2 linked regions of the Ovis aries genome follow. The protein of the gene in region 2 purifies or fractionates together with the protein of the main gene of each other region. This does not show direct contact. Links are inferred from orthologs where the notes say so. Each region holds a gene or a part of one and is shown on either strand. Other genes may lie near its edges.

Evidence for each region.
Region 1: the proteins of SMC2 (region 2) and NCAPG2 purify together in Homo sapiens (affinity purification with western blotting; 4 studies listed by BioGRID and IntAct, with this or other methods). This does not show direct contact. The link is inferred for Ovis aries from reciprocal best matches to the Homo sapiens genes SMC2 and NCAPG2.

The regions. Positions count from the first base shown.
Region 1 is NC_056057.1:120,930,793-120,937,293, reverse strand, and holds part of NCAPG2 (condensin-2 complex subunit G2), read left to right. Parts: intron 1-427; coding exon 428-568; intron 569-1,832; coding exon 1,833-1,936; intron 1,937-5,763; coding exon 5,764-5,864; intron 5,865-6,501. UniProt on the Homo sapiens protein: Regulatory subunit of the condensin-2 complex, a complex which establishes mitotic chromosome architecture and is involved in physical rigidity of the chromatid axis.
Region 2 is NC_056055.1:18,962,493-18,968,993, forward strand, and holds part of SMC2 (structural maintenance of chromosomes protein 2), read right to left. Parts: intron 5,780-6,501; coding exon 5,586-5,779; intron 4,518-5,585; coding exon 4,374-4,517; intron 1,340-4,373; coding exon 1,145-1,339; intron 1-1,144. UniProt on the Homo sapiens protein: Central component of the condensin complex, a complex required for conversion of interphase chromatin into mitotic-like condense chromosomes.

The DNA.
Region 1 (6,501 bases), on a different chromosome or scaffold from region 2:
CATATTTGAGTTAATTTGAAAAAGTCCTGTTTTTGAGGAGTTTCTTCAGGTGTCTGTGATCTGTTCATGTAATTTGTGCCAGAATTTTTTTTTTCTCACTATTGGCTGTGCAGCTTTGTTCAGAACACATGGCCTCATAGTGGGTGTCTTCCCTTAATGTCAGTGATATTTCTTCCTCTTTCGTTTTGAGAACTTTATTAATGTTGCTGATGCTCCTGTTCTCAGAGTTTTTCTCTGCTCTGGGGTAGAGTGTGTTTAAGGTACTGCCCGGGCCCTTGGGGTTGTGTGTCGTCTCCAGCACCAGAGAGGAGGGCATGGGCAGCAGGGGCGTCAGGTGGGACGGGCCTCGGCCCCGCGGAGACAGGAGGAGGCTGCGTCCCTGATGGAGACTGTTCAGGACTCACGGTGGCTGATGTGTTTCTCGTAGCTCCTTTGCTCTGTTCAGACTCCCCTGCATGAATTCATCAGCACTGTGCAGTCCTGGCACGTGGACACGCCTGTTCACCGGGGCGTGTTCTCCACCCTGATCGCTGCGTCTGTGGTTGAGATAAGCCACTGGCTCCGGAAGGTGCGTTGTCCCGAAGCTGCTGTGTCTCGTTTTGGCTACTGAAGAGGCTGTTTTCTGCTGGCAGCATGTTCTTGCCTTTCTCTAGCTATTTTTCAGAGCTTAGGTACCGCGGGAGGTCCGCTTCTTCCATAGCTGCACCTCACGGTTCCGTGGCTGGTTTGTGTTCACAGCCGTGCTTGGCGGTGAGCAGGGTGTGAGACTGCCCTGGTGCTGTTTCTGGAGCAGCTCACATCTCTGACTGCTGTGCGATACATAAGCGTTACTTTTTCTTTTAAGCACAGGAAGTTTGAATCTGTAATATCAGTTTAGACAGATAGTTTGCTCCTAGTCCATAAAGGACTGGCCAGATCCTGGCAGGAGCCTGTTTCATATGATTAGCCTGCTTGGTTCAAGGCCGACATAACCAGGATGATGATTCAGCTCACAATAAAGCGTGCGCTGTCAGGGCCTGGAGCCCTGATGCTAGTGTGTGAGGGCGTGCAGCAGCGCCTGAAGACAGTAAACGGTGGGGTTTCTCTCAGTATGGAAGGGAGAGATTGACAGGAAATACCATGGAAATATATAAATGCAAACATACAATTTCTACAAATGTTGTATTATGAAATCACAAATGTAAAAGAAGTTGACAAAATTGTAGGACATTAACAGAATTTCAGGCCCTCCTGAAAGCTTGAAGGGAGATCATTGTGGTTTAGGAGCGTGATTCCTGGCCTATACACAGCCTAATAACTGGAAGTTACTCAGGCCCGCAAGGCACACAGCTGACAACTGTGAGTCCATCAGTGGCGTGTGGGCCACTGTGGCCCATTTATTTACATTTTTTTCCTATGGCTGCTTTGTGCTATAACAGCAGAATTGAGTAGTTGTGGCTGAGATCATTTTGCCCACAAAGTTTAAAATGTTTACTATCTATTATTTACTATTTTACTGCTTTATAGAAAAAGTTTGAGTTGAGAAAACCTGATCTAGGCTAATAAGAAAAACAGTTAAATTTGCTTAGTGTAGAAACACACTGTTGACAAAAGTAGATAATCAAAGAGTGTTTGGCAGAGGGCTTGTCAAGTGACATGTTTTTTCTTCTGTCCAATTGATTGATACCACTGTGAATCATGATTATGATAGCCATTGCAGAAGTTAACAAAAATACTCATTTTGAGTTTCTGGAAAGCCTTTTTCAAGTTTGTAAGAAAGTTCAGAGAAGCATAAAATGAGTGCTCAGCCCAGTCTCAGTCTTGGTCACATTACTAACTGGACTTTCTTTCAGGTGTCTGATGCGGAAGAGCTCACCCCGCCAGAGGGCCTTTCAGCCCTTCCGCCATTTTCAAGGTGCTTAATAGGAATAATACTAAGGTCTCCACATATAGTCAGGTAATCCTTTCTCGTTACTGTCTTCTTGCTCCTCTGGCTGTAAGCCCCCAGTAACGTTAGCTCTCTTCCTTTTACTCTCAAGATTTAGCCTACTTCCACAAAGAGACATCATAACTCTCTGAAAGGAACACGCATCCACACAGTCTCTGGTTTTGCTTATCGTAACTCCAGTTCATTCAGAGGGAAACAGGTGCAGCGTTACTGTGCACCGCAGTGCTTCTGACGGGGGGTGCTTGGTGAGGCTCCGTGTGGCTCTCACTGGGCGCGTGCTCGTCTCTCCACGTGGGTATCACCTGGCCTGACTCCAGGCTGTCTGTGCACAGGCAGCACTGCTGGGCCACACGAGGGAGAGCCCTGCGGAGGGCTGATGCCTGCGGACCTTCCACGGTGGGTATGTTTGCTGCAGACTCCAAAAGCATCATTTCAACAGCTGTGGATTATCTTTCAATAGCACATTATGTCTTTCTTGTGATATTATAAGTACGCAGAGGGCTTCATTCACTTACCAGAACATCTCTGTTCTCTTACTAGCAGCGGCATCTGATTTTAGTGTCCCACCTGTATGACTGGTCATGCTTACGGTGAAGAGTGTGGGAAGACTTTAATCATCCCATGTGACTGAAACGTGGTATTTCCCGTTCTCTGAAATCTGGAATTCATGGTGGTTGATGAATCTGACAGAATGTGGTCCACTGGAGAAGGGAATGGCAAACCACTTCAGTATTCTTGCCTTGAAAACCCCATGAACAGTATGAAAAGGCAAAATGATAGGATACTGAAAGGGAAGCTCCCCGGGTTGGTAGGTGCCCAACACGCTACTGGAGATCAGTGGAGAAATAACTCCAGAAAGAATGAAGGGATGGAGCCAAACCAAAAACAATACCCAGCTGTGGATGTGACTGGTGATAGAAGCAAAGTCTGATGCTGTAAAGAGCAATATTGCATAGGAACCTGGAATATCAGGTCCATGAATCAAGGCAAATTGGAAGTGGTCAAACAAGATGGCAAGAGTGAACGTCGACATTCTAGGAATCAGCAAACTAAAATGGACTGGAATGGGTGAATTTAACTCAGATGACCATTATATCTACTACTGTAGGCAGGAATCCCTTAGAAGAAATGGAGTAGCCATCATGGTCAACAAAAGAGTCCAAAATGCAGTACTTGGATGCAATCTCAAAAATGACAGAATGATCTCTGTTCATTTCCAAGGCAAACCATTCAATATCACAGTAATCCAAGTCTATGCCCCAACCAGTAATGCTGAAGAAGCTGAAGTTGAATGGTTCTATGAAGACCTACAAGACCTTTTAGAACTAACACCCAAAAAAGATGTCCTTTTCATTATAGGGGACTGGGATGCAAAAGTAGAAAGTCAAGAAACACCTGGAGTAACAGGCAAATTTGGCCTTGGAGTATGGAATGAAGCAGGGCAAAGGCTAATAAAGTTTTGCCTAGAGGACACACTGGTCATAGCAAACACCCTCCTCCAACAACACAAGAGAAGACTCTACACATGGACATCACCAGATGGTCAACACCGAAATCAGATTGATTATATTCTTTGCAGCCAAAGATGGAGAAGCTCTATACAGTCAGGGAGCTGAGTGTGGCTCAGATCCTGAACTCTTTATTGCCAAATTCAGACTTAAATTGAAGAAAGTAGGGAAAACCACTAGGCCATTCAGGTATGACCTAAATCACATCCCTTATGATTATACAGTGGAAGTAAGAAATAGATTTAGGGGACTAGATCTGATAGATAGAGTGCCTGATGAACTATGGATGGAGATTCATGACATTGTATAGGAGACAGGGATCAAGACCATCCCCATGGAAAAGAAATGCAAAAAACAAAAAATGGCTGTCAAGGAGGCCTTACAAATAGCTGTGAAAAGAAGAGAAGTGAAAAGCAAAGGAAAAAAGGAAAGATATAAGCATCTGAATGCAGAGTTCCAAAGAATAGCAAGAAGAGATAAGAAAGCGTTCCTCAGTGATCAGTGTGGGGAAATAGAGGAAAATAACAGAATGGGAAAGACTAGAGATCTCTTCAAGAAAATTTAGAGATACCAAGGGAACATTTCATGCAAAGATAGGCTCGATAATGGACAGAAATGGTCTGGACCTAACAGAAGCAGAAGATACTAAGAAGAGGTGACAAGAATACACAGAAGAACTGTACAAAAGAGCTTTACAACCAAGGTAATCACGATGGTGTGATCACTCTGCTAGAGCCAGACATCCTGGAATGTGAAGTCAAGTGGGCCTTAGAAAGCATCACTACGAACAAAGCTAGTGGAGGTGATGGAATTCCAGTTGAGCTAATTCAAATCCTGAAAGATGATGCTGTGAAAGTGCTACACTCAATATGCCAGCAAATTTGGAAAACTCAGCAGTGGCCACAGGACTGGGAAAGGTCAGTTTTCATTCCAATCCCAAAGAAAGGCAATGGCAAAGAATGCCCAAACTACTACACAATTGCACTCATCTCACATGCTAGTAAAGGAATGCTCAAAATTCTCCAAGCCAGGCTTCAGCAATACGTGAACTGCGAACTTCCTGATGTTCAAGCTGGTTTTAGAAAAGGCAGAGGAACCAGAGATCAAATTGCCAACATCCACTGGATCATGGAAAAAGCAAGGGAGTTCCAGAAAACATCTATTTCTGCTTTATTGTCTATGCCAAAGCCTTTGACTGTGTGGATCACAAGAAACTGTGGAAAATTCTGAAAGAGATGGGAATACCAGACCACCTGACCTGACTCTTCAGAAACCTATATGCAGGTCAGGAAGCAACAGATAGAACTGGACATGGAACAACAGACTGGTTCCAAATAGGAAAAGGAGTATGTCAAGGCTGTATATTGTCACCCTGCTTATTTAACTTATATGCAGAGTGCATCATGAGAAATGTTGGGCTGGAAGAAACACAAGCTGGAATCAAGATTGCCAGGAGAAATAGCAATAACCTTAGATATGCAGATGACACCACCCTTATGGCAGAAAGTGAAGAGGAACTAAAAAGCCTCTTGATGAAAGTGATAGAGGAGAGTGAAAAAGTTGGCTTAAAGCTCAACATTCAGGCATGAGATCATGGCATCTGGTCCCATCACTGCATGGGAAATAATGGGGAAACAGTGTCAGACTTTATTTTGGGGGGCTCAAAAATCACTACAGATGGTGACTGCAGCCATGAAATTAAAAGATGCTTACTCCTTGGAAGGAAAGTTATGACCAGCCTAGATAGCATATTCAAAAGCAGAGACGTTACTTTGCCGACTAGGGTCCATCTAGTCAAGGCTGTGGTTTTTCCTGTGGTCATGTATGGATGTGAGAGTTGGACTGTGAAGAAGACTGAGCGCCGAAGAATTGATGCTTTTGAACTGTGGTGTTGGAGAAGACTCTTGAGAGTCCCTTGGACTGCAAGGAGATCCAACCAGTCCATTCTGAAGGAGATCAGCCCTGGGATTTCTTTGGAAGGAATGATGCAAAAGCTGGAACTCCAGTACTTTGGCCACCTCATGAGAAGAGGGGACTCATTGGAAAAGACCCTGATGCTGGGAGGGATTGGGGGCAGGAGGAGAAGGGGACGACCGAGGATGAGATGGCTGGATGGCATCACGGACTCGACGGACGTGAGTCTGAGTGAACTCCGGGAGATGGTGATGGACAGGGAGGCCTGGCGTGCTGCGATTTTTGGGGTCGCAGAGAGTCGGACACGACTGAGCGACTGGACTGAACGGCACTGATGAATCTTGGCCATTCTTTGTCTTTCTATAATGGATTAAGATGTGTCATTAAGTAATCGCATTGTTTTCTTTGTTTCAGGTCTTTTTTAGATGAATTGAAGGCTTGTGTCATTTCTGAGGATATTGAAGGCATCGTATGTCTCACAGCTGTTGTGCACATTATCTTGGTTATTAATAAAGGTTGGTGAAGTCTCCTCTTATATTATCTGTGATACTGCTGAGTGTGTCTTACATTGATCCATTTTAGAATGTTTGGGAACGAGTTGCCTGCCAGTCAGGCTCTCAAGGCGCTTTCCCCAGCTTTCCATGTTCCACACATGTGCTGTCTGCCTGGGCGTCTGCTGTGTAGCTGCCCTGTACCAGCATGAATCACAATAGTTCCCTAACATATCTCCTGTCCACTCTTCCCAGGACACATTATTTCTCCTTCTCTGTACCTCAGACCAAATGTCTGTTGCTTTGTCATTTATTGGCTTTATCGTGTATGTTTAAGAGTCAGAATCATTTTTGCCAAAGATGGTGTGTTTTGGTATTAATATTCTACGTATCTGTGTTTTGCTTAACTGTGTGTACTCTTGAGTGTTATAGCCAGTTGAAATACTACTGGAAAAACAGAGATACCTCTGAGTTACTTACCAAAGTGTAAAATAGAGTAATAACTCTGCAAGTGACTACTGTTGTGTTTCTATATTTTTTGACTAGTTTTAGTAACGTTCAAATTATTTTCTAAGGTATTATGCATAGGGGGCTCTCCGCAAAACAAGTTATCCCCATGAGCATGAATGCATAGCATGGCTGCAGATTCGTGACAGGAATT
Region 2 (6,501 bases):
GCAGATACTTTACCATCTGCACCACCAGGGAAGTCAGTGCCTGGTACAAGTATACAATAAATATTTGATAAACTATGTATTTTAAAGAATACTTGACTTTTTAGCAGTTCTGCTTGCAAGTCGCTCTTTGTACCCTCTTCACTTAACTGTAAATAGAATCCCCTAGCAACCACCAATACTAGTATTGTCAATTATATTTTTAAAAAAACCTATTAACAGTAATATTAGCATTGGTAATAGTTCAGTGAATCCACTAATACTAGGCTACTAGGCAAATGGGAAATCAATACTAATAAAATATTAGGATATTATCATGTGGTCATTAAAAAAATGCTTTTTAAACAAAGTAATGAACCTGAACAGGCAATCATGGCTCTTGCAGAAAAGGGTGGAAGACTGTTTTGTATGTTCTCATCTTTTTGAAATTAAATCTCTTGTACTTTTATGATGCTAAAAAAGATTTAAAAGGCACCAAACTGTTACACACCAGTAAGAAAACATGATGAGTGAATTATTAAAACCACATAAATGAAGCCTCCTAACTAAGCAATGAATTCCTGCAAAACTATGTATTTTCTTTAAAGTACTTAGGTTACTGTGATACATGAAAGAAATTTTAATTAAGAGTGACCAATAAACTGTGGGATAACTTCAAAGACACTGCCTGGCAAAATGTCAGATTTCAAATGAGACTTCGAACATTGACTATACTAACCCTCATAAGGATATCCTAAACCAACTAAGTCCTTACTTCAGAAGTACCTTGTGGATACTTCTCTGTGAGTTCCCTAAATTCAATTTGCAATTAGGTAAAGAATACATATTACTACTATTAATACATTAGTAATTAGTTCTATGAACAACTGGGGATTAAAAAAAACAGTCATTTCCATGGGAGGCCATTCAATATTTGGTTAAAAACATCTTGGAGATGGGAATAAAGCCCCTGAGATTAAATTTAAAAATAAAACATTTTTGCCATTTGGTGACTGCTGAGAAGCAGTCATAGTTGCATGCCTCAAAATTGTTACACAGTAGTTCTGCCATTTACAGTTAAGTTCTTCACTGAGCACTTTACCAGAACATTTCAAAAACCCAGAGGCAAAAATTTGATTAAAAATAAAAGTGAACAATACAAACATGCCTTTGCAGCAGCATCTTCAGCTTCCCGTTTATGTTTGCTGATGTTATGGTCCAGTTCCTTAATTTTAAGCTGAGAGTCATTGTTTTGCTCCTTGTGTTTTGCTACTTCTGCATATTTAGCTTTAATTATGTTGTCTTGGGCTGTTATCACTTCTTTTTGCTTGGTCACCTCTTCCTGAGCTTTGTTTACTAACTCCTGCAATGAATAATTACAAGATAACATACAGCAAGGTAAGATGGAGACATTTTTTGGTTTACTGAAAGATCATCCAACAGACTTCTATGTGACACAGGCAATGTGTCATCTAACCTTCTACATTTTATATCCCCATGAAAATGACTAACACATTTACAAATAAAACTTGTATTACCACTACGGAAAAAGGGATGCGATGCATTGTTCATGCTGGAAGCAACAAAGTTCCTGTGACACAGTAAAACTGGGATCACCTAGGTGGAGGAGGGGTTACTGGGATTTGCCCTGTACGGTCTCTCAAAAGAGTGGGATTCTGGTGGTGGTTACAAAATAATATGACAGACCCCCAAATGCCATTTATTATGAAGGCAAAGAATGGAGGTGGAAGTAAGGTAAGCTGGCATTGGTTCCTTTCCCTTCTACAGAAGTAAGCCATAAGGCCTCTGACAGTGGCAACAAAAGGTCAGGGTGTTTAGTTCTAGCACAGGGGTTAAAACAGAGATATGGAAGAGGAAGAGAAACTTTTTGAAGAAACATATCTGTGGCACAAAGAAAAACTTCTCACTCTTTTAGTATCATCGGTTTGTCTCCGAAGTGAAAATTACAGCTGGGATTTAGTCTACCAACTCTCACCTCCTCCCCATGAAAGTTCTTTGCTAGATCTTAAAGGTCTTTCTGGTAAAGATATGGTCACAAACTCACACAAACATCTGAAAAAAAAGAACCTAGCTCAATTCAGATTTAGGTAGGGAAAAACAAAGAGTAGAACAACTTGCTAAAAGACTGAGGAAGAATAGATATCTTGAAGTGACGATAAGCGTCAGTAAAAATTTAGGAATTTTTTAAGGCATGCTCATTAGAAAACAAGATAATTTTGAGCGATAAACAATACCTGACATTATGGTTAAGTTATTGAACATGACATAAGTAATTTCTTTATAATGTTTGTGTCATAAAAGGTCCTTTGCAGGAGGAAGTTAAATCTCAGCATTCATCTAAAAAATCCAAAACAAAAGCGCATGACAAAAACATGTTTATTAAGCTGATTCTCTCACACCTAAAGACTGAAGATGGTGTCATAGGTGTAACTGTTTCAATCTACAATGGTTAAGAGAAAAACAAGGATATCTATCACTTCAGATTGAGCCAAAGTTTTTAGTTTCGTTTGAACATAATTAATTTGAAGGCAATTTATCTTCTTAGCTCCCTAAGAGGGCAAACAGAAACAATTTAGAATATAGAGACTAAAAGAACAACATTTACAAACTTAGAGATACATTTTATAGTTTTCCATAGAAAAATAGATATTCTCTTTATCGAAATATGTATATGCTTTTGATTTTATCATTATTTAGATCAAGGAAGAAGTGACTTATTTTACTTCCACATTTCTCTTTAAAAATATGACATCTAATTTTAAAAAAAATTCCACAACATGACGTCCATGAAAGATGGTAGAAGATATGGAGGAATGAGACAAAAAGGCAAGTCAGAAGGCAGAAAAGAAACTGTAGAAAAGGTAATCAGCAAGACAAAACACAAAGCTGAAAAGCATTTTGAACCCTGATTCAAAAAGATAGTTAAAAAATTGTTCTGCTATTGATTTGATAATGTGTTAAAAAAAACCCTTGAGTTTAACCACAAATAGAAGAGAAAAGAACTACTTTCTAAAACAATGCACACTACAGCAATTAAAACAATCATCTCAAGGAAAAAATGTAACAGGAAATGTAAAAGTAGAGGACAAAAGGCAAAAAAAACACACTTTACTATATCCTAGGTAAATGGATGGAATGCCCCTGTTAGAAGCTATTACATTTTAGTTAACATGACCTACAAAAAGTACATAACTGCAACAGAACAGAAAACTAACAACAACAACAAAAAGGTGTATCAAAAAACCAAAGGTGGTTACACTTTGTAGGGCATGGTGACAGTAGTAATAATAACTACTACTATGTATTTCAAAGTTGCTAAGACAGCACATCTTAAAAAGTTCTCATCACAAGAAAAAAACCTGCTATGGGGTGATCATTTCACAATATATTAAAATGTTGAACCATTATATTGTACACCTGAAACCAATATAAATGTTATGCCAATTAAATCTGAGTTTTAAAAAGTATGAGTAGAAATAATGAAACAAAACAGAATTCAAGGTCAAAATCAAAGAAAGGGTCAAGAGGGTATCCAATATTCATGAGGGAGCATTTCTAATATTTGCAGGAAATAGAAATATCTTCACAACATGAAACCTCGTACCCCAAATCCACCCTTCACTGCCTGCTTCTGAGATGGGAACAACTCTCCCTTGCCGAGTGTAACAATATGAAGCCTCATCAGTAAAGGATGCTTTAGGGACACTGGAGAAGGAAGGGGCTTCACTTCTTGGTTCTGATGTGCTTTTCTCAAAGGCAAGGTTGTCACTTACATGGCATACCCAGCAGCAGTCTTTGCAGCCTGTTCACAGGCTGGGCACCTCCCTGTGGCCAGTCCCCCTGGTGTCCCAGAAAGCTGTTTTCCCAGCAGATGTCCTGTGCAGCACTTTGCTCAGCATGGTTTCCCTACTACACCAAACCCCACCACCAGAGGGCCACAATAATGTGTTTTCCAACTACATGTAGTTATCAGCCTTGCAGGTAGAATGGGGCTCTTTTCCAGATTTGTTCCTTCTGGGGGTGCACTGCTTCAGCTTATAGGTAATAACTGCTCCTATATCTGCTATTCATTCTTTAGAGTTTTCTCTACCCCTTAGCAATCCAGTCATACATCATTCCAAATTCCTGTTATAGTTAATAATTTTTATTTAAACTCGGCCTGGTCAAATTACTGGGTGTTTTCATTTTCCAATAGACCTGGACTAAAACAATTAGTGATATTATTTCAGGACTCTTTCTGATTGGTAGTCATCATTTTCCCTCTCATCATGACAGGGGTGAAGAGACTGAGACCTCTGAAGTCAAACATCTTTAAGCCACCATTTCAGAAGCAGACTGATATCTGTATTTCTCTAATGTGGTTAAATCACTCTCACCTCATTTTTAGCCACCTCAGAGGCCATTACTGCAATCTGACCCTCGTAGGATATGATAGCTTCCTTTACAGCTTCAAGCTGTTGTTCATAGGATGCATGCTCTCTCTTGAGCTCCTCCAGCTCCAGGGTGATAGCTTCAACTTCCTATAAAAAACACAGCATCTGGGCATTCAATAGTTACCAACTACTGTGGCTCAGACAGTAAAGCGTCTGCCTACAATGCGGGAGACCCAGGTTAGATCCCTGGGTTGGGAAGTTCCCCTGGAGAAAGAAATGGCAACCCACTCCAGTATTCTTGCCTGGAAAATCCCATGGACAGAGGAGCCCAGTAGGCTACAGTCCATTGGGTCACAATGAGTCGGACATGACTGAGCGACTTCACTTCAGCAAAACTAATAAGATACTTAAGCAAGTAAGGACCATAGCTTACTCAATTACTGAAAACATGTAAGCTGCTTCCAAAGAAGAAAAAGGGAAAATGAATTTATTTTTCTATATTAAAAAATGTACATACAATTTTTATGGGTTCAAAGAACTCTGCATAAACTATTTCATCCTTTTATTCCTATAGAGAAAAATAATACAGAATTCTATATAGCAGATAAATTAGGAGAGGTTAAAAACCTTTTTTAAACAATTATTTAATGACAAAAAAAAATAGCTTCTCTTCTTTCCCATTATAGCCTTTAGTTCTTTACAAAATGCTTTGTATAAAGCTAAATATTTAATAGTAGAATCATAAGGTGGGTTTAAAAAGAACTGTGAAGCAAAGTTAGATTTAAGTGAAACTGTATTCAATAGTGAAATTGTATAGAATAGTGATTGAGCATGTAGCCTTCTTTGTAAACAGAAAAACATAGGTTCAAATTCCAGCCTTGAAACTATCCAAAATAGTCTACAACTGAATAGCACTGCAAATATAACATGCTTTGCCATCATTATTCCTTCACAGTGTCTGTTCAAACAGATGATCACCAAACAGAAACGTCAACAGTGATTCTCTGATAAGACACAGCTTGGCTTACATGATACAAGCTTTGGTCCACTCCTGAATGAAACATTATCAAAATCAAACCTTTATCAAGCAACTTTGTCTCTCACTTTTTGATTTGTGACACATATCGATGAAGAAGGCCATGTCAACCAATGGTGCTCTACCACCCTTCAGTTCTACGCTGATGTTAAAAGATTAATTCTATTAAAAAAAATTACCTGTTGTTTTTCTTTCATTTTTTTGCTAGAAGCATCTGCTTTAGTTCTGGCACAATCTAGTTTTTTCTGTGCATCCTTCAGTTCTTTCTCTCTTTCAGCTTCAGCATTTTTCATTTTATTCTCCAACACCTCATATTTTTCTTCAGCTTTTTTCTGAATTTCTTTGGTGTTTTTTAAGGTCTCCTCACTTTCCTCTGCATTATAAAGCAGGCAAATACAACTAAATGAGATCTTCCAACTAGTAACAGCTACAGAAAAGGGCTTACAAATTCAACTTTTAAGAGAAGAAAAGGTATAGAAAGTTGGAGTCAAGAGTTTAAAAAAAATTAACTGTTCTAACTTTATCCTAGAAATAGTATGTTGAAAACACAGGTCATACCTTAGAGCCATACTTGAATTATCTAAATTCTGTAAAGAAATTATTTCCAATCACATGAAATTGAGTAACATAAACTTTATCTACAATTTAACTTATAAAAAGATCACAGACCGTTTTATATACCATATGCTTTATAAAACCAGAACTGAGCACATAACTATGGTACTTTTATTTTAGTTATAAGAATACTTTTAATTAACCCCATAAAAAAGCTTAACTTAGTGTTCCTTGCTCACTTATTTTTATTCAAGGAAACTCTTATTAAAGTGGAGAAATATTGTGAGACTATACTTAGGACGAAGCATAGGAAACATATTACCTCTGAATTTAGACATTAAAAAAATAAAGTAAGATAGAATGAGCATGTTATGCTCACAATCAACATACACTGTTAAGTGTTAGGACTAGGTACAAACATAACCTTGAAAGCCAAGATTATACAATTTCCTATACTAGTTTTCACTGTAGAATATCATTCTAGAAATCAAAAGAGAAATTTTAAAAATACCCAACACAAAGATAAACAGAAATACAACA